Linked DNA regions of Astyanax mexicanus. The protein of the gene in region 1 purifies or fractionates together with the protein of each later gene. This does not show direct contact. Links are inferred from orthologs where the notes say so. Each region holds a gene or a part of one and is shown in the gene's direction. Other genes may lie near its edges.

Region 1 (11,372 bases):
GGGCAGGCAGAAATCAGGGTCAGAAAACTCTCTAGTGAAGTAAAGAGTGAGTGAGGTTAGGGTGTATATATAGTGGGTGGAACAGTTGACATTAATATTCTGGTGATTGACTTCCTGGTGGTGCCTTGTGCAGTGTCATGTAATTGCGTTAGTGAGTGATGCCAGTGAGAGGTGCATTCTGGGTATCGTAGTCCGCAGGTAGAGCTGAATGTGGGAGAAAAAAGAGTACCTTCGGCCCCAGCTGTGACAAAAGTATGAAATTATTTCCAGAATATGATTTATATTTTAGATTCTTCAAAATAAGAACCTTTCGCATAGATTAGACAGCTTTACACATTTTGGCTGGATTTTCTCAGTCAGCTTTATGAGGTAGAGTCTCCTGGAATTCAGGCTTCCAGTTAACAGCTGTGCTGAACTCATCAAGAGTTAATTACTTAAATTTCTTGTCTCTGAATGTGTTTGAGAGCATCAGTTGTAAAGTAGTGAAGAGGTAGAGTTACAGGTATACAGTGGATAGCTCTATTTCTAATCCAGATTATGGTAAGAACTACTAAGTAACTAAGTAAAGAAAAAATACTTTAAGAAATGAAGGTCAGTCAATCCGAAAAAATTCAGGAACTTTGAAAGTATCCTCAAGTGCAGTCATAAAAAAGACCATTAAAAATGTTATGATGAAACTGGCTCTCATCAGGACCACCACAGGAAAGGAAGATCGTCAGAGTTACCGGCCTCAGAAACTGCACATTAACAGCAACCCAAATAAGAGCACCTAAGTTAGAGTATTTTGGTTTGTTTAACACGTTTAAGTTGACTATGTTCCTTCATAGTGTAGATGACGTAAGTGTTAATTTACGTATGAAAAAAATATATAAATGAATAAATAAAACATTAAATGAGATAATGAAATAATTTTGCAAAAGTAGAGGACCCTAACAGTCTTTGTAAAGAAGACACTACCCCTCATTGTCTGTAAGTTTGGCCTTTAGTAAGAAGAATATAAGACAATATTTAATATATATTTCTGTAAAACACATGTAAACATATATAAACACAAATACACACTCAGTCCTAAATCAGATTAGTCCTGATGTAGCCCCTCCCTCTATGAGAGCAGGGTCCGTGCATTTCCTGTGAACAGCTCTGAGTACGAGTTCAAATAGAAGAAAATAAACAGAGGCTGTGCAAGAGTTACGCAGCGCAGGAAACACCTCTTCAACCCCCAAACACAACCCACCAAACACCCCCCCCCCCCCCCCCCGCCACGCTTCACCCCAACTGGGCCCTATGTTGCTTCAGTGCCATTTTAACTACAGCACTAAGATGTATTCTTGCTCCCCCTGCCTCAGTGTTGCCAGGTCTGTGGTTTCTCTGCAGAACTGTGCTACTTTTGATGTATAGTCACTAAGGGGCTGAAGTGTTTTTGCTCCCTGGATTGAATTTTTATCCTCAGATTTCTCTTTTAAATGCCAGTATGATCAAATTGTGCAATAAAAATAGAAAAGGTCCACAGTGGAGTTCCACATACAGCATTATATAAAAACTGCTTGTTTAAAATTGTTTAAAAGTGTACAAAAACAGACCTTTTTTCTTTTCTGCACATACTTGCCTTTCCATTTATCTTATCCTGAATGTATAAAACCACATAATACACTACAAAATACTATACAATACACTGTAATACAATACACATAATACACTGTACTTCACAATAATATACCATTCCAAACCCGCTACAGTGAATTATATTATATTACAGTAGAATTCTAACTCTACACTACACTGAATTATACTATATCCCACTATACTACTACTGCACCACACCATACCCTACTACACTACACTGAATTATACAACTTCACCATACTATATTATACAATACTATACACTACAATACACTATATTACACTACACTATTCTACACTACACTACACAAGACACTATATTACATTACACTATATTAGACTACACTACATAACACTACGCTATATTACACTACACTATTCTACACTACACTACACAACAAGACACTATATTACATTACACTATATTAGACTACACTACATAACACTACGCTATATTACACTACACTATTCTACACTACACTACACAACAAGACACTATATTACATTACACTATATTACACTACACTACATAACACTACGCTATATTACACTACACTATTCTACACTACACTACACAACAAGACACTATATTACATTACACTATATAACACTACACTACATAAGACTACGCTATATTACACTACACTATTCTACACTACACTACGCAACAATACACTATATTACACTACACTACATTGCACTACACAACATTACACTATATTACACTACACTACACTCCCCTTATTACACTGCATTACACTACACTACATTACACTGTATTACACTACACTACACTACACAACAAGACACTATATTACATTACACTATATTAAACTACACTATACTATATTACACTACACTTTATCACACTACATTACATTACACTATATTACACTACACTATATTATACTACACTAAACAACATTACACTATATTACACTACACTACACAACATTACACTATATTACACTACACTCCCCTTATTACACTATATTACACTACACTACACAACATTACACTATATTACACTACACTACACAACATTACAGTATATTACAATACACTCCCCTTATTACACTACATTACACTGTATTACACTACACATCATTACACTATATTACACTACACTATATTACACTACACTACACAACATTACACTATATTACACTACACTACACAACATTACACTATATTACAATACACTCCCCTTATTACACTACATTACACTACACTACATTACACTATATTACACTACACTATATTACACTACACTACACAACATTACACTATATTACACTCCACTCCCCTTATTACACCTCATTACACTACACTATATTACACTACACTACACAACATTACACTATATTACACTACACTCCCCTTATTACACAGCATTACACTACACTACATTATATTACACTACATTACCTTATATTACACTACACTACACAACATTACATTATATTACACTCCACTCCCCTTATTACACTGCATTACACTACACTATATTACACTACACTACACAACATTACACTATATTACACTAAACTCCCCTTATTACACTACACCACACTATATTACACTAGACTACACTAGACTACACTAATGTACTGTTAATTAGCAGTATGTGGTTTTGGATGCAGACCGCGTTTTGAGTTCAGGCTGGTCGGAACACAGAGGCCTGCATACAGTGATGCTCACCTAAAGGAGAACTCCTCTAACCCTGCAGCAGGAGGAAGATGCACAATCGACCCTTTCTTCAGGCCAGGCTTGGCTCACTTCCACAAACTCAAACTCATGACTCTTGTTATCCTTACATTTCCTCCAGGCTGTCTCTTGCTGGACTTATAGTGAACTCTGATATTTACTAATCTACCGTCAATGTGAGCAGCAGCTGCTGTGCAGGATCTGCCAGATTTGTTGGACTTGTTCAGCTGACGATTGTAATAAGGTTGTAGTGTGCTCTTGGCCTGGGCCATGAGGAGGGTCGGGGGTACGGTGATGGAGAATGGGCCATTTCTTTTCCTGCTAATGTTCTTGTTTGGAATCTATGTCATATGTTATCAGTGTAACTGTTTGGAAATCACCTCTTTCATAAGTGTGAGAAAGTGAAGAACACTTTTTCTTTTTCTTTCACAAAGGTGCCCTCTGGTGGAGAAATAAAAAAAACTACTCAAAATACACCTCACATGAGCTCTGGTCCAGTTATATCAGAATTCACTTACTTTATCAATCAGTAATCCTGACCTCTCCAAATCCCTCTAATTTGACATGTTGGTTTAATAAGGTGTAACTACCAGATAATATAATATATTAAAGGAGACTTGTTATACCTCTTGGTACAAATATCTATATTACACTATATTACACTATATTACAGTCTACATATCTATATTACAGTCTATATATTTATATTACACTATATTACAGTCTACACTCAGCCCGCAGCATTGATAACATTTTTCGGTTGCGGGGCCATTTGATGCTGAGCGATGTTGAGAACTTGACCTAGCACTCAGTTCTGTATCTTTACAACTAAGGCTGTATCTCTGAAAACATTTTGTCCATTGAGTTTTAGAGCTTTGAAATTGACTGTGGGGTGACAGCAGGTAGGCGTTCTCTGCTGCAGTGCTGTTAGCCAATCAGAGGCGATATGTTTGCATGTATGAATATTCATGACCAAGAGCCAAAACCTGTCTTTCTCCAGAGACCTCTAATTCAGTGATCTAAAGCAGGGATAAATAGAAACACTGGCTCACATGGCATCCATTCATACTAGAGACTACAACTAGACATTTTTAAATGAATGAAAAAACGATAGAATGAGACCTTTAAGTCCTGGATGTGTCAGCATTTTTTGCAGCTAAATTAGAATATAATAGGATACAGTGAGAAATGGGGCTCTTATCTATATAGAAACCCTTTGCCTTGGAGTCTATAAAGGCTTAAAGCTCTGCCAAAAACCTGGGTGTCACTTTTGACAGCTTTAATACCCACAACGTCTGCAAAACAGCATTCTTCCACCTCAGTAATATATCCAAGGTCTGCAGGATTGACTCTCATGGCTGGATAACTGTAATGTGCTTTTTCTGGCCTGCCAAAGATCTCCGTTTCCAGCTTGCAGTGGTTGGGAAATGCTGCGGCGAGGATTCTGACCTGCACAAAAATGAGGGCTCATATTTCACCTGTCTTTAAAACAGCTGCTCTTTTCCCATCACAGCCGTTCAGGGGCTGTATTCTTGATGATCTGAAGACTCTTGATGATTGTGATTGTTGCACATTTAAAGCAATAAAAATAACAGCTTAAAATAATTTAATAATCCACTTATAATATAGTAGTGTAAAAGAAGTGTTTGCCCTCTTCATGATTTCTTATTTTATTGCATGTGTGTCACTCTTAAATGTTTCAGATCAGTAAACAACTGTAAATATAAGTAAATCACAATACAAGTAAACAATTTTTTTTATTATTATTAAGTGAGAAACAAATCCAAACCTACATGGCCCTGTATGAAAAAGTGTTTTCCCCCTAAACCTAATAACTGGATTGGCAGCTCTTAGCAGCAACAATTGCAATTAAGCGCTTGCAGTACCTTGCAATGAGTCTTTCACGTCTCTGTGGACAATTTTTGGTCCACTTTTCTACACAAAATTACTGTAATTATGCCACATTGGAGGATTTTCCAGAATAAACCACCTTTTTAAGGTCATGCCACAACATCTCAATACTGTTCAGGTCAGGACTTTGACTAGGCCACTCCAAAGTCTTCACCAGACCATCACACTACCACCACCATGTTTTACTGCTGGTATGATTTTTTTTTATGTTTCTTAAATGTTATTTTAAGAAACCAGATGTCAAGGGACACACCTTCCAAAAAGTTAAACTTTTGTCTCATCAGTCCAAAGAGTATTTTTTCCAAAAAGGGGATCATCAAGATGTTTTCTGGCAAAATTGAGATGAGCCTTAATTTTTCTTTTCAGCAGCGGTTGTTGTCTTGGCATTCAGGCCATTTTAGAGTCATGAATGTTGACCTTAACTGAGGAAAATGAGTCCTGCAGTTCTTTGGATGTGGTTATGGGGTATTTTGCGACCTCCTAAATGAGTTGTCGCTGAGACCATTGGTAAACCTCAAGTACATTCACACCAGATCCTTTACACCATTGCTAATTTTTAAATATTCATAATAACTTAAACATAATGTGTGTAATGTGAACAAATCTGTCCCTGAAACGCCTCACATGCCGCCTTTTTCACCAACAACAAAAAAACACATATTTGAGAGACGACCTGTAGCTTTCTAAAGGGAAATAAATGCGTTAGCAGCATATGTGGAGCTTCTTTTGCTGGAGTGGAGAGCAAACGGCTGGTCTGAAGTTTATGCTCAGCTTTGCAGCTATAGCATGTAGCCCATGCATAAAAGCAAAAAGACTTATGAATTCTGATTGATTCGACCGTTTACATTCATGTCGCATGTACATGGATCAGGTACGTATCTGATGTAGGACCATATATGGTTTTGGCTCAGATCTGATTCGAAAAAAAAAATGGATTTGGCACATTCACACAGGCATGAAAAAATATATGAGTAACTTCAGCCTGGTAATGTGAACATAGCTTTAATTATCTTACGCCCACATCTTAGTAAGTCGTGGCAATTACTTAATTATCTCATTCCCATGCACTAGAATATCAATCCCACGCCTTAATAAGTTGTGGCCATGCATTCATTTTTAACATGTTCTCACTTTAGGGGCTTCATAGGGACCATGCAATAAAATGTACATTATACAGTGTGTGACCTGATTCTGAGTATAAGGACTGGAGTCTAATGGAGAATGAATGTAGCCTTTGCTTAGTTTTACTGAATTGTTTAAAGTACTGATCTTCAAAACACGTGCTAACGTGTTGTATGCGTACATATGACATACAGATCATGCAGTACGTGCCCGGCCGGCTGCGTCACGCGCACAGCGTTCACTCACAGCGTGGCTCACGCACAGACAGACGTACAGCGCACGGGAAGCGAGCTGCTGGAACCGGCTCAGTGGGAGAAACCAAGTTCTCGAAAAAAGGGGGGAGACATAACTAGAACAGCATTTGGACAGGTTTTACACCAGTTTGACTCAAAATAAGCAGGTATGCTCATGCGCAGCAATGTGTTTATTTTATAAAATAAATTAAAACATGTACGAAGTTGTCTAAATGTATTTAAAGGGTTATAATTTACGCCCTATATCAGTGTTGAGCGGGCTGGGCTCACATGGCCTGTTCCTTTTCTCTGCGCAGGGGGGTTCGCGCCGGCGGCACCGCACATGGTCCTGCGAGGAAAAACGCTGGATTACGGTTTTTAACACCCGCGAATCGCGCTAATCGCCCGGTATTGTCCACAGCGAAGCCTCGATGAGAGATACGGAGGATATGGACGCAGAGCTGGAGTTTGATGAAGGCGAGGAGCCTTCGTTCAGCGACCCGGAGGACTTCGAGGATGATATCAGTGATTCGGGTAGGTGGCTGGGAGAGCGGCCGGCCCGGCGAGGCCCGCCTTCGGCCGCGGATTTCGCTGATACCGCGGTCATGCGGATTTCGGTAGCTAGGCTTATATATAATATATTTCATTAGCGTTATATAATTATTTGGGTTGTGATCATAAGCTGTGTGGTTTGCTGTTGAAGTAGTGATTCGGGAGCAGCAGCTGGATGCAGCAGGCATGATCATTCAGTGCCCGTTAGCTTAGCTTAGCTAACGTTAGGTTAGTTAGTCGGTTGATTAGGCCATAGCTTAGCTTAGTTACGCTATCAAATACAAAATCTAGCGTAATTAAGCTAAGCTAACAGCGGCTACCTGGATAAACAGGCTCACATAAACTACGTTATTTAGCTAACATAAGCAATTCTGTTAGTGTCTGCGAAAGCCCAATTTATTATTTAATTTTTAGCTGAATAAATAAGTTAAGTTAGCTATTTAATACGCCATAGCAGCATCTGAACCGGTGTTCTGTCGACTTCTGCTACCCATCAGTACCTGCTTTCGAAAGGCACTGCGCATGCGCCAACATACATTTTTTCATGCTCTTTTTTTTATAATAATTCTTTTTCTGTGTTTTTTGTTCGTTTATCAACCTTACATACATTACATACAACTGTAAATGACAATTTAATAATGTTAGTAATATGTTATTACCGTTATAATGTAATATAATATTGTATACAATATGTATTATTAATAAAATGCAAAAGCAGATTCGAATAACCTCTTATTTCCATAACTTCTCCCTGAGACTGTGCTTTATTGTGTCCAAGAAAAGCACATAGACTTTTACTGGAAATATTCTAGGTTTTAATATTGTACTTTTTGTGTATTTTAACCTTTTAAATATGCACCAGAGACGCACAGATTGACAAGGTAGCAGAACTCGACAGAACACCGTACAACATGCTAGCTAGCTTAGCTTAACGTTAGCTGTCTGGCTAACAAGCGTGGACAAAGCTACTATCCGTCTATGCTAAGCTAAAGTATTCTAAGCTATGCTAAGCTAATGAATGAGGCGTGCCTGACAGTTGGGTCACAATGTAACTTAAGTAAATAACTTTATTTTATGTGCTAATTAAGCAATCTATATGCCTTCCTCACGAACAACATGTATCCTTAATTATTAATAAATAAATACACGATAACCAAATTGATTGTTTCTCACTAAATTAAATAATGTCAAACCCACTATTTTAACATTTAGCTACTAGGATTGTGCAGTACATGTATTGTTAGCTAGTTATATATGTTTTAGTTATATTATGGCATGGTGCTGTCTCCAGGCAACAATACATTTCACATTTGGTGACTTTCCCTGTAAATTTATTTACTTAAAAATGTATAGCTATATGTCCTGCACATGTCTGCAATACATTTATCCTACATTTCTTATTTAAAAAATACAAAAAGTGTTTCCTTGCTATATAATGTGTGTTAGATTTATATTTTAAATACATTTAGATTGTAAGTCTTTAAATTACAGGTGAGCATTATGGCTCTAAAATAATATTACAATATTTCATGGTATTTTCACAATAACGATACTTTTGGCGATGTGACAAAACACTGAATATACAATAATATTTTGTATCACATTTGACACAACTGATATATCTAACCTCTAAATGGAAGTGATCTGTCATGTCATTTGTTAGTTTGCAAAGCTGCTAGGATATGTATATTTATGAAATTTTGATATATAATAATTATTAAATTTAACTAGGCCTGTCACAATTTTTTATATGGACATGACCTCAATATTTTCCACTGTGAAATTAGTCTGCATTGGCCTTGTTTATGAGCAGTGTTTTAGATGTGTCATTCTTAAATAATTTTGGATTCTGATTTTTAAATATTTTTAATTCAAGTTCAAGAATTAATTGTAAATGCATTATTATACTATTTTATTATCATAATATCACTGTCATTAAATTGTTTTAAAAGGAGAGTGTATTTTTATTGCAATTATTTCTTTGTTTTAGACCTAAATATATGTAACAGTGTTACACTGCTCCTTAAAGGGCTACACTTGCTCACTTAAAACATCTTAAATAAGACCAGCCTCAAAGACATGTTATCAGTGGTAATGTTATCTAATTGAGCAGCTGAATGTAACGGTTTGCTTGTAATTGTAGTTGGCAGTTTCTACAGTAGTTCTTGTAAGGGTTTTTAAGTCCTGCTCCTGAAGCCCTGCCAAGTGTATTATTGAATAGAACATCCATTATAATCTAGAGAAAGGCTTCTTAGTAGGGCTTTTGTTTCAGGTGTAACAAAAACAAAACTGTATTCCAAAAGAGAATGGTGCAAAAATGGTTGTTTTAGAAATGCCAAAGAGTTACTAGAGGTGGAAAAATAAGTTTTATTGTAGCTTTATATTTTAATATATATATTTTTTGTTGTATCCACAATACTTTAGACATATCAAGGACATCAGTAATTAAAGAATACCTAATTTTACATTTTATAAAAAAAAGCATAATTAGACCTGTTTAATTGGACGAGATATTTTGAATGAATCACATGTATCGAAATATTTGTTGTGTGTTTTCCAGTTTTAAGTTGTATTTTTTTAAAAACGTTTTTGCTAATTTATATAGAGGGATGTATGTATGTATACATACATACACACACACACACACCTTAACAGCTTAGATATTCTTAGAATTCCCTCTATATAAATTAGCAAAAACGTTTTTTAAAAATACAATTTAAAACTGGAAAACACACAACAAATATTTCGATACATGTGATTCATTCAAAATATCTCGTCCAATTAAACAGGTCTAATTATGCTTTTTTTTAATAAAATGTAAAATTAGGTATTCTTTAATTACTGATGTCCTTGATATGTCTAAAGTATTGTGGATACAACAAAAAATATATATATTAAAATATAAAGCTACAATAAAACTTATTTTTCCACCTCTAGTAACTCTTTGGCATTTCTAAAACAACCATTTTTTATATACACACACACACACACACACACACACTCATTACTATTTGTTTTACTCTCCTAGTTGATACACAGGTTGCATAATTAATATATGTTTATTTTTTTCAATTATCATTCAGCCCCAGTGAATTTGTCTTTGGAAATTGTTATGTAATGTTTTTACCATGTGTTCAGAAGAACTTGAGAGTTTGTTTCCCACCAAATGTAGAATTAAAAAATAAATTCTTAAAAAATGCTTCTATATGGATTAATTAAATGACTATCAAAAAATCAATTTGTCGCACCTTTCAAGAGTGTATGTTTCTGTTGAATTTTCACTTTATACTATTCTTGGCCTTTGCAGAGCTGCTGGGAGACATCCTCAGGGAGAAACCTCAGGAGGCTGATGGTATCGACTCGGTCATTGTCGTTGACAATGTTCCTCAAGTAGGACAAGACCGTCTGGAGAAACTCAAGAATGTCATCCACAAGATCTTCTCAAAATTTGGCAAAATCACCAACGAGTTCTACCCAGAAGCAGACGGCAAGACCAAGGGGTGAGTGCAGGTTTGACTGCCTGTGTTGTGAAAGTAGGTTAAGTTGAATTTGTCTAATAATGGATGAATCTCTTGCGTCTGCTCTCTGCTGTTCAGGTACATTTTCCTTGAGTATTCTGTTCCAAGTCACGCACACGAAGCTGTGAAGAACGCTGACGGCTACAAATTGGATAAGCAGCATACTTTCCGTGTCAACCTGTTCACTGACTTTGACAAGTATGTTCTGCTCAATTAAGCATTTTTAAAATGTTTTTTGCCTATTTCTGAAACACTATATTAATTTAAAATGCGTGTTTAATTTATCATTTCTAGGTACATGTCAATCAGTGATGAATGGGAACCTCCTGAGAGACAACCCTTCAAAGATTTTGTGAGTAATACAGACTTTTAATAGCACAACACATTACTGTGATAGATTTTTAGTTTATCTAAAGCCTGATAATGTTTGTCCAGAAGTCCACTCATCTTTTGACTTTTACCTTTCAAGAAACATGACACTTAAACCCATTGTCTTTGTCAAGCAAAGCTTTAAGGAGACTTATATCATTTGCATCACATGAGGTGGATTGAAATTGTAGATCCACGCTCCAGCTCCACCCAAAGAGTAATTGTTATACAAGATAAAATAAGAATAAAATAAAGAATAAAATGTATAACAAGATAGACATATATGTACAAATGTACTAAAGAAGGAGCGGCAACTCGAAATCCAGAGAGCAAAGGCA
Region 2 (10,772 bases), about 16 Mb from region 1:
AATTGAAGCAGTGGCAGCAGTCTCTAATTAGGTCAGACACTGAAAAGGTTGGTGGGAAAGAATATTTATCAGCATTTTCTGATGTTTGTAGCAGAATAAAGCAAGTTACTGATTGTCTTGTTAGAGTAAATTGTTTGTTTTCATCATTATCTACTTCATTATCATTCTCCATCATTATCGAACTCAGAACATTAGTGTATCAAGGCCCTCAGTTTGATGATACTGAGAAAAACAAGATTTATTTGTCTGTTATTTCAAAAAGAGTTTGCTCAAAGTTCGAAATTATGTAGACCTATTTTTTCATCTACCTTAAATACAGTTGTAAAATGTTTAATTCTGCTAAGTGTTTGCAGCTCATTCCAAAACCCTTTTCACTGCTTTTGCAGAACGTGTTTGTGTTTTAACACTGTAACACTACACTCAGAATTCTTTTTGAATGGGTCAGTTTCATCAGCAGGTCATTTGGCCAGTTTTACAGACAATTCTCCAAAATCATTCTGAGAGACCCAAAGGAAAGCATGCATCATTCGAACGAGGTTCTGACCACTACAAAAGGGTGTAGTGCATTAAACTACACATCAATACACAGTCTATCATTTTAATCCAGTGTTTTCTCTCATAGTAAACCACTAGTTTGAAATTTTGTTGTTGCTAATGTACAGTATGTCTCTTAACATGATTGAATACAGATTAAAATCAACTTGCATTAAACTTACAAAAAATACTTACATTATAGAGATATTTAACTGCATCCCATATCCAATTTTCTGTGTGATCAGGTTCAATAAAGAGATTCTAAAATGTTAAACTCTATGCAATTTTAGTGCCGTTCATGTGATCTTTATTTAGCTCCTAAACAAAGATCTGATATGCTAGGATTTGAATGTACATTATTATAATCTCATCATGGCTTCACAGTAACTGCTGTTGTCATTTCTGGTTCTAATACATTTTTACTTTAAGGCACTGCATTTTTCTATCTGTTTTATACTTGGACACATGAACATTAGGGTTTCATTTATCTTTACATCATTCCCTCTGAATCCACATGACATCTTCCCTGTGTTGAATAACAGTCAGATGTCAATATGGATCCAGAACAACTGTTCTTCTCCACATTCCATCACTTGCACAATAACAGCACGCTGGCTTTTATGGGTTCCTCTCATTTGTTGTTCAGTAATGCTGGACCCATCCACAGTTGAAAGGTACCAAAGATCTTTGTTAGTTTGTTTTTGTTTGATTTCCTCTTTTTTGCACACCCTGTAAACATTATTTGCAAATTAAACTACACAGAAAATAATCAGCCTCCATGTCTGAATTTATTGATATTGATGTTTTGTTTATATATGGCAGCCAAAAGCTTGGACTCCTCTGGTTAAAAGATCTGTTACTGTTAAATAGTTAAATGTGCAGAAAATGAACTGATCTCCAAAAGGCATACAGTGAATGATTTGTAGATTGATTCTCTCAAATAATTTTTTGCAGGGGTTAGGCATTGAATAGCTTGTTATAACTGTGGCTGCACCCCAGTTGTGTACTGCACATAATATATACAGGGGGTTGGACAATGAAACACCTGTCCTTTTAGTGTGGGAGGTTTCATGGCCAAATAGGACAGGCCTGGTGGCCAATCTTCATTAATTGCACATTGCACCAGTAAGAGCAGAGTGTGAAGGTTCAATTAGCAGGGTAAGAGCACAGTTTTGCTCAAAATATTGCAATGCATACAACATTATGGGTGCAATACCAGAGTTCAAAAGAGGACAAATTGTTGTTGCTGGCGCATCTGTGACCAAGACAGCAAGTCGTGATGTATCAAGAGCCACGGTATCCAGGGCAATGTCAGCACACCACCAAGAAGGACGAACCACATCCAACAGGATTAACTGTGGAAGCAAGAGGAAGCTGTCTGAAAGGGATGTTCGGGTGCTAACCCGGATTGTATCCAAAAAACATAAAACCACGGCTGCCCAAATCACGGCAGAATTCAATGTGCACCTCAACTCTGTTTCCACAAGAACTGTCTGTCGGGACAAATTATTGTGGTCTAAAATTAGGTGTTTTAGTTTTATTGTCCAACCTCTGTACTATAAGTTGTATTATACTACAGTTAGTTCTGACCCTGCAGTTGGATTGGCTCAGAGGCATTCTATGGGGGCCATTATCAGCCGGTAATGCACTGTAACAGAAGCTCTCAATGCATTACTCCGCCACATACAGGTAACCTAGCAACGATGCAGCATTACCAGGCAAACAGCGCAGCTACAAACAGAGCAGCAATGAAACTATTTTAACTTGCAAGTTTTTATAACCAAACAGGTTGTGTTTTCTTGTCCTCTTTTACTCAAACTCTTTCAATAAACAGTAATAATGGAACTGTGGTATAATCGCAATAATACCCTCAAGGGTCGTGCTATAACGTAATATTGGCACTGCTGTGCTGATCTACGACTGCAGCCCAGCAGTGCCAATATTACACGTAATAGCAGGAACCTCAAGTGTATTATTGCTTAATGCTACACTGCTCAAAAACATATAACACCATCAGTTAAAGTTCAGGGATATTGATCTTCCCAGTTGAAAGGCATAAGCAATAAGTCAAATTCATTCAAACTAGTTTGTTAGCTAGCTAATATGTTCTTACATTGTGTTCAAAATGTTAAAATCTAGTTTATTAGGCTGCATCCTATTAACATGAACCTATCAACAACTTACTATTACCCCATATCTTTATTCTGCAACTTACCTAGTATAACTGCAACTATTTAATTTATCTCTGCTGTTCTATATCAGTTTAATGTGTGTATATTTTAGATTAAAGAGGGAAACCCTAATGATATAAAGGCCTGCTTCATACTTTGTCAATAGATCAATACTTGACAGTGACATTTAAACCTGCCCAAAAATGATTGGAAATTGTTAGTGGGTATAGATCAAGCTCGATTAGCAGGTGGACAAGATGCAAAATTGACTGCGCTTATAATAAGCAAGCAACATTAACCAGCTAATACAGTGGTATGAAAAAAGTTATTGCACCCCTAATAATTTGCAGTTGAGTTATACTAACTGTAGTAAACTGACTTGTGATAGTAAAATATTGTGACTGTGTCTTACTTTTGGACAATGCAACTATTATTGGTTGTATTTATAATGACTGTCTGACCCCTCACTCACTAATCCTGCAGGCTAACTCCACATCCCCCAAACTCAACTCAACTCACAACTCATCCCAAAAGTATCTAATGAAGCAACATCATTCCAAAGAACAGTTTCACTGCTCCTCAGCTCAATGCTAACACCTGACCTTTGATATGTTACATTACATTTGGCAGACGCTTTTGTCCAACGCGACTTACAATAGTGGAGTACATAAAGTAACAAGTTAAAGGTAAAAACACATTTTTAGACATGGCTTAGAGGAGGTCAAAGGGAGATAATGGGATAGAGGAGTGAAGGAGGGGAAGAAGGAAATAAGGTTAAAAGTAGTTAGTTAGGTGTTAGTGCTCTTTGAAGAGCTCTGTCTTCAGGATTTTATTAAAGATAGTGAGAGATTCTCCTGATCTGGTAGTGGAAGGTAGTTTGTTCCACCATTGGGGAACTCTGTATGAGAACAGTCTGGATTGCTTTGTGTGAATTGTGTTTGGTAAAGCGAGGTGACGTTCACTGGAGGAGTGCAGCGGCCGGGAGGTGGCGTAAGACTTCAGGAGTGAATGCAGGTAGGAAGGAGCTGTTCTGTCATCACCTTGTAGGTGATTGTAAGAGCTTTGAATTTGATCAGAGCAGCAACTGGTAGCCAATGGAGCTCAATGAGCAGTGGGGTGACGTGCTCGTTTTGGCTGGTTGAAGACCAGACTGTCTGGATCTGGATGTCTGTTGCTGCATGTCTGGATCATCTGGAGTGGTTTTATTACACAGGCCGGGAGGCCAGTTAGTAGGGCATTGCAATAGTCGAGGCGTGAGATGAACACTGCTTGTACCAGGAGTTGGGTAGCCCATCAAATTGTTCTGATGTTATACAGCGAGAAGTTGCACGATCGAGCAACTGTGGCCACATGGTGCCTAAAGGAGAGCTGGTCATCCACTATAACACCCAGGTTTCTAGCAACCTTTGTCCGGGAGAGAGAGAGAGAGTCGATGGTTGTGGCCAATTGGTTCATAGTTAACTGCTCCGGAGAATCAACATATACAGGTGGGCCCACAGGGGTTTTACCAGGGTATATTGGGCATAAACAAATGTATGGGCTGTGACTTGGTACCACATGGACTTCCCATTTGGTTCCCTAGTTGTCAGCTGCATGTGGTATATTTGGGCACTGTTTGGGCTAACCATTAAGCTATCTGTGTTTTACATGGGCTTAAGTGGGTGTATTATTGGCTATCTGATGGTTTTTGTTTGGGTCCCACATGGAAAAACATTTAATGCAGTGTTTGAATTCTGAAAGCCTGTTGTCGGTGCGTATATAGGACTAGCTAAGTTTTAAACTGACTTGGGCTGTGTTTTCTGGAAAATAACTTAAAATGTGTACTGAAAACTGAGAACTGCTCAGTAGAAGTAAAGATGGGCAGATGTAAGAGAAGGAGATGTAAAAGCAGATGAGCAGCTCTGTACACAACTCCCTCCTGCTAAACACCTCCGCTGAGACAGTCACGGCACAGCATGTAGACCATACAATTCTTCAGCTCCCTGTTTACATTCAACTTTAACACTGAAATCACTAATTTACTATAGTAAAACTCACCAAAATATGTAAATATTAGACATTGTATCTACATAATAATATATACACACACAAAAGCCACATCTAATTACAACAGGAAGTTACATCAGTTCAAAAAAAAAGATTAAAAATAAGTTTAATTTGGATTTACAACAAGCAATTCGGTGGCACTCATTCTGTGGAATTGCCCAAATATATTTTAATAATAAAGAATAAAGGCCAGACAATTTAAAAGAGAGCACAAAAATCTGGTAACGTTATAGTTTAAATATTAAAGTTCGTCTGATCTAATAAATTCACATATACGTTTTTTTATGTTTTATTATTATTTATTCTTGTCCGTAATTTTTTTGCCTAAGTGCCTAAAATACCATAAATATAAAAAACGAATTAGAGACGAAAATAACAGTACGATAAAAAAAGAAGAAGAAAAAAAAAAAAGACTGTGAACCTTTATTTTGAAGTGGTTGACGGGGCGCAGGCGGTAGTCGCGCCCTCTGTCGGTCGGTTCGGTCCTTGCGCGGTGCCGGTGATACACGCGGCTGGTGTGTGGAGAAGTTTCTTCCGATCTTTTAAAAAAAGGGAGGAAACAGAAGATCCGCAGCCATGGTGAGAAACACATTCAAATACCGAGTAATACCTGGGTATTACTCGGTATTTACGAGCTATATTGGTCTGTTATTAACCAGAACCGGGTGTGCGTATGTAGTTAGCTAGCTAGCAAATTAGCGGGCTAGCTCAGTCGCTATGTTAGCTAGTTAGCTTAGTTACATATTCTCCGTTCATTAAACCGAATTAGTCACTTATACTTTAACGTTGACTGTTTTACCTGTTTCGCTGTGTGGATTGGTAGTTTATGGGGTATCCAGTAGACAGTATATGAAAACACAGTCAGTGTCAGTGCCAGCAGTTCTCTCTAATTCTAATAATATGTGAACTGGCTAAGCTAGTTAGCTTAGTTTAGCGCGGCGGCTCTTATTATATGAGGGTAACGTTAACCAGCTCCAGCTATGCTAGCGTTAGCTGTTCCTCAGATGTTGCTTTATTTCGCGATGCTAACAGTTAAAACATTAGAGCATTGCCTGCTAACGTTACCTATCTGCCACCGAACCATATTTGTCAGCGTTTAAATGTCTAACATACAGCTCTGAAAAAAGAAAAACACTGGACGAGTTTCTTTGATTTCACCAAATTGAAAACCTCTAGAATAAGGGTAGTCAAAAGCCATTAAACCCAGCTAAACTGCTTGAATTTGTGTACCAGGAGTGGCATTAAGATCCGAAAGCAGTGTGTAAGGCTGGTGGAGGAGAACATGCCAAGATGCATAAAAACTGTTATTAAAAAAACAGGGATTTCTGAACTCTTAAAACATTATAAATATGAACTTGTTGTCTTTGCATTATTTGAGGTCTGAAAGCTCTGCATCTTTTTATTTCATCAATTAAAATAAATATTCTAAATGACAATATTTTTATTTGGAATTTGTCAGAAAGGCTGTCTGTAGTTTCTAGAATAAAACCATTTTCATTTTGTTTAAATTATTATTTTTTTCCTGAGCTGTATATCAGCAAAAAAATCACTAGGAAGTTTGTTGTCTAAATATTAGTTAGCTAGGTTACGCATGTATTCTTCTGACTGGCTCTTGTTATCGCATATAACCTATATATTTGTCTTACTGTTTATTAACTATTTAGCTAAATTAAAACTTAACCTAGCTAGCTGGTTATATAGCCAGTAGTTTTTGATGATATGTTTTCTTAGGCCTATGTTCATAGCTATCTTGACTTTTAATGATACTGATAATGATAATGATGTAATGATACTGTAATATCAAAATAATGAATTTGATAGTTCAAATCATAAGATACACTGGTGTTTCACCTGGTGATGTGTTACAGGGCAATATATAGCAATATTGCATTGTGATACTGTAAGCGAATCAATATGTATTGATTGTTTTAATCAAATTTCAGAAAAAAAAACTTATTTATTAAACTCGTTTGAAAGTTAAAAAAGGGATTTTCACACAATTATAACAACAACAGGGTAAAGCACTGCTGTCTAGTGGTCAGGTCCTAAACTAAACTGCAAATTGCAAAACAAACTGTCAATACAATGCATATATATTCTATATATTGTAGGAAATGTTGGTAATGTAATTAAATGTAACCGGGCTGGTTTCTCTGGTGCTGTTCTAATAACTGATGATTCTTTTCTTTTCTCCAGAAACCAATTCTTCTACAGGGCCACGAGAGGTCTCTTACTCAGATTAAATACAACAGAGAAGGAGATTTACTGTTTTCTGTGGCTAAAGATCAGGTATGTTAAATTATTTTGCTCAACTTGGTTTCTTTGTTTCCTAAATGCTAAAATGTTGCTCACTAAAAAAAATAATTATCTTTTTCCTTCAGTTTGCGAATGTGTGGTATTCTGTGAATGGAGAGAGGCTGGGCACCTACAACGGCCACTCCGGGGCGGTCTGGTGTGTGGATGTTGACTGTATCCTTTTGTGCTGATGCTTCTGATGTTCCAAGCTTTAGTTATTTTCTTAGCTTTGTAAATGGGTTAAATCAATGTACCTTATTTAAATAACATGTAGTTAGGCTTGTTACAAAATGTATTTTCCCCAGAAATGCAATTCAATTAAAATGTATTAATTTGAAAAGCGTTTTTTTACAACAAATATTGTCACAAAACAGATTTACAGACAAAACAGACCCAAGCCTCTCATGAGCAAGCACCACAGTGATGCCAATTATTGTGTTGACAACAGTAGCAAGGAAAAACTATAAGACTCAGTCACATGAGCCCATCTCCCTCAGGTCGACCCGGACAAATTCATATAATAAATGTAATTTTGAGGTATCGAGATGATATCATGATAATATAATTGTGTAATCGTACAAGAACATTCTTTTAAAGGACATACTATTAGTTAATTTGGAATGCATATTTTTTCTTCCCATGCCACAGTTCAGTCTGTATTTTTGTATGTGCTGCTGTTCATGCATCAGTCATTGTACGTTATTTGTTAATCTTACATATATATTGACATTACATGCATCTGTTTCTTTACCTGAGTTGTTTTACCTTAACCCATGTTAAAAGGGGACACAAAAAATGTGTTGACTGGTTCAGCTGACAACAGCTGCAGACTCTGGGACTGCGAGACAGGTTAGTTAAGTCCTGCCATGGCACAGGTGCAACAATCACCATGATTTTTTATTTATTAATTATAACTATAATTAATAACTATAACTGTTTTGTCTGTAAAATTGGGTTATATATTTTCCAGGGAAATTTAATTATTTTTGCATGTGCGTTCAGGTAAACAATTGGCAATGCTCGAGACCAACTCAGCAGTGAGGACGTGTGGATTTGACTTCAGCGGAAACATCATCATGTTTTCCACAGACAAACAGATGGGCTACCAGTGCTATCTTAACTACTTTGATCTGCGGGACCCCCAACAGATTGGTAAATATGCTTTTTTTCAGTTTCGGTTGATATATCATTTCTAATTTCTGTTGTGAGTCTAAAAAATGCAGCTGTATGGAAACCAGACTTACTAAAATGCTTAATGATGACATGCCTGTATTTGATCTTTTGTCCAATTCTAGAGGACAACCAGCCTTATCTCTCAATACCATGCAGTGAATCAAAGATCACAAGTGCTGTGTGGGGCCCTCTGGGAGAGTTTGTGGTTGCTGGTCATGAAAATGGAGAAATCAACCAGTTCAGCGCCAAGGTTGGTTTATTTTTTGTAATGGGATGTGCATGTATACTGTTGCTTTGTAAATTTACTAAGGGACTGCAGTTTCTAGAAACTTGCTGGGGATTCTATGCTGTAACATATTTTATTTGGGAATACCTGGCTCTGAGACAAAATGCAGCTCTCGGGATTTGTCAGTTTTTGAAAATTATATTGCCTTTATCTGATCTAAGAAATTACTATATACTGTTCACATGCCCACTCTTTGAGAAAACATGTATTAAGACAGTATGTCTGCGTCCTTAATAAAACTAAAATATTCTATGATGCTTATAAGGCAGTAATACAACAGCATGTTTTAATTAGATAAATAATTCAGTCTGGTTTTCAAATATATTTGTTACATTTAAAATAAAAGCATTCAGTTAATGTATCTTTTTATGTGTAGTCTGGGGAGATTGTGAAGAAGATAAAGGAGCACACTAAGCAGATCAACGACATTCAGACTTCTGTGGATCTCACAATGTTTATCACAGCCTCCAAAGACTGTGCTGCTAAGGTTTGTATAAGTTTTTGACAGAATGTATCATGTTTAAACATATACCTGAAAATGTAGGTATTCTTACAAGACATTTTTTCTCTTTGTCTGCAGATGTTTGATACAACATCATTAGACCACATCAAATCCTTTAAGACTGAGCGTCCAGTCAATTCTGCTGCCATCTCGCCCAACATGGAACATGTAAGAGATTTCATCTGTAATGCTGTGTAGTGATTTTCATTAATAGTGTCTCAAATAGTGGGGTGCTTTCATCCCAATAAGCTAAAAAGAAAATATATATGTATTTATTTTTTCAACATTGTGTGTAATCTGTAAGAATGTAATGAATGATTTTAATCTGATAATTATTGAATGCTTAAGATAGGGCTTGTTTTTGGCAGTGTTTACAAAACTTACACTTTAGAGTAAAAATAAAATGTTTAAGGGTATAATTTGTTTGCTTTTAAATATTGTTAAGGGTTTTTTGGGGGGGTTATATTTTGTTGGGAGAGTGAGGACATGTTGTGAAGGACAATTTTCAGAATTGTATTCTCTTCATTGTTAGTAGAGACACGTTCTCTCACACTCTGTATTGTGTCGACACACAGGTGGTCATGGGAGGAGGTCAGGAAGCCATGGAGGTCACAACCACCTCTACTAGGATTGGAAAATTCGAAGCTAGGTTGGTACAACTGGCAAAATCACCTATATCTTTGATAGTTTGGCTCATCAGAAATGTCAGGCTACCAATTGTTACTGTTTATTTTGAATATATATTAATAATGTATTTAATATGTTTACTTGTAATACTACATATACACCATGACAGGTGAATAAGGCTGATACTATGGCTATTCATTATATATAAAATAAATGATTACTATATAAGGCGCACTATCCGTAAACGTCTATTTTTATACACAAGGCGCACCGGATTATAGGATGCATTTTATGCGACTCTAGTAAAAAACAGGGATGTTGCAATGTTTTCCTTCTAAATTCAGCAGGTATTGCTGCTGGGTAGGCGAGACATGTAAAGCTAAGTTAAGTAAACAAAACTGTAATTCCTAATAATAATGAAAAAAAAAAAACATTTTAGACGAGTCAGATAAGTCAAACGAGTGCTGGATGTTCATCTACACAGATTTCTCTCCTGAAAACTGTTTATTTGGGTGAGTTAAGCACTTCCGTTTATTAACAGTAAGCTTAGATTTTTTTTTTGATTTCCACTAAAGCTGGAGCATTAGCGGCTACTGCTAGTGGTAATGCTAATGCTGCTCCAGCAGTGCTAGCTGGGGTAAGCAGCGGACTACAGGCTGATAATACTCAACCTCCAAGTCTCAGTGCTGGAGAACTAAACTAAAACTCCTGTATAAAGCTGCACTTTAGCAGAGTGGCTTTACTGCTCTTTACAACCCGACTGGTAAAATTCTTACGTAAGATGCACTGGATTATAAGGCGCACTGACCATTTTTGGGAAGATTAAACGATTTTAAGTGTGCCTTATAGTGCGAAAAATACGGTAGCTGTTACACATTGATCAGTGTGGGTTTTTGTGCTAGCAGTAAATGTTATTCAAAGTATCTCGTTGGCTCTAAAAATGTACAGGACTGAAAATGTATGTTATGGTCCCATGTCTGATATAAACGTTATTCCCGGACAGGTTTTTCCATGCAGCCTATGAAGAGGAGTTTGGAAGAGTGAAGGGTCATTTCGGACCCATCAACTGTGTGGCATTCCATCCTGATGGGAAAAGGTGTGGTTTAGTTTCATTTCTCATTACTCTAGTTTTTTTAAC

What was found. The genes of interacting proteins can lie anywhere in the genome.
Region 2: the proteins of eif3ba (region 1) and eif3i purify together in Homo sapiens (affinity purification with mass spectrometry; 12 studies listed by BioGRID and IntAct, counting the BioPlex papers as one, with this or other methods). This does not show direct contact. The link is inferred for Astyanax mexicanus from reciprocal best matches to the Homo sapiens genes EIF3B and EIF3I.

The regions. Positions count from the first base shown.
Region 1 is NC_064410.1:55,933,166-55,944,537, forward strand, and holds the start of eif3ba (eukaryotic translation initiation factor 3, subunit Ba), read left to right. Parts: upstream 1-6,738; 5' UTR 6,739-6,762; intron 6,763-6,912; 5' UTR 6,913-7,026; coding exon 7,027-7,129; intron 7,130-10,454; coding exon 10,455-10,647; intron 10,648-10,743; coding exon 10,744-10,863; intron 10,864-10,959; coding exon 10,960-11,017; intron 11,018-11,372.
Region 2 is NC_064410.1:39,626,632-39,637,403, reverse strand, and holds the start of eif3i (eukaryotic translation initiation factor 3 subunit I), read left to right. Parts: upstream 1-5,192; 5' UTR 5,193-5,327; coding exon 5,328-5,330; intron 5,331-6,947; coding exon 6,948-7,040; intron 7,041-7,132; coding exon 7,133-7,220; intron 7,221-7,829; coding exon 7,830-7,895; intron 7,896-8,048; coding exon 8,049-8,198; intron 8,199-8,341; coding exon 8,342-8,469; intron 8,470-8,881; coding exon 8,882-8,992; intron 8,993-9,085; coding exon 9,086-9,175; intron 9,176-9,582; coding exon 9,583-9,656; intron 9,657-10,637; coding exon 10,638-10,730; intron 10,731-10,772. UniProt on the Homo sapiens protein: Component of the eukaryotic translation initiation factor 3 (eIF-3) complex, which is required for several steps in the initiation of protein synthesis.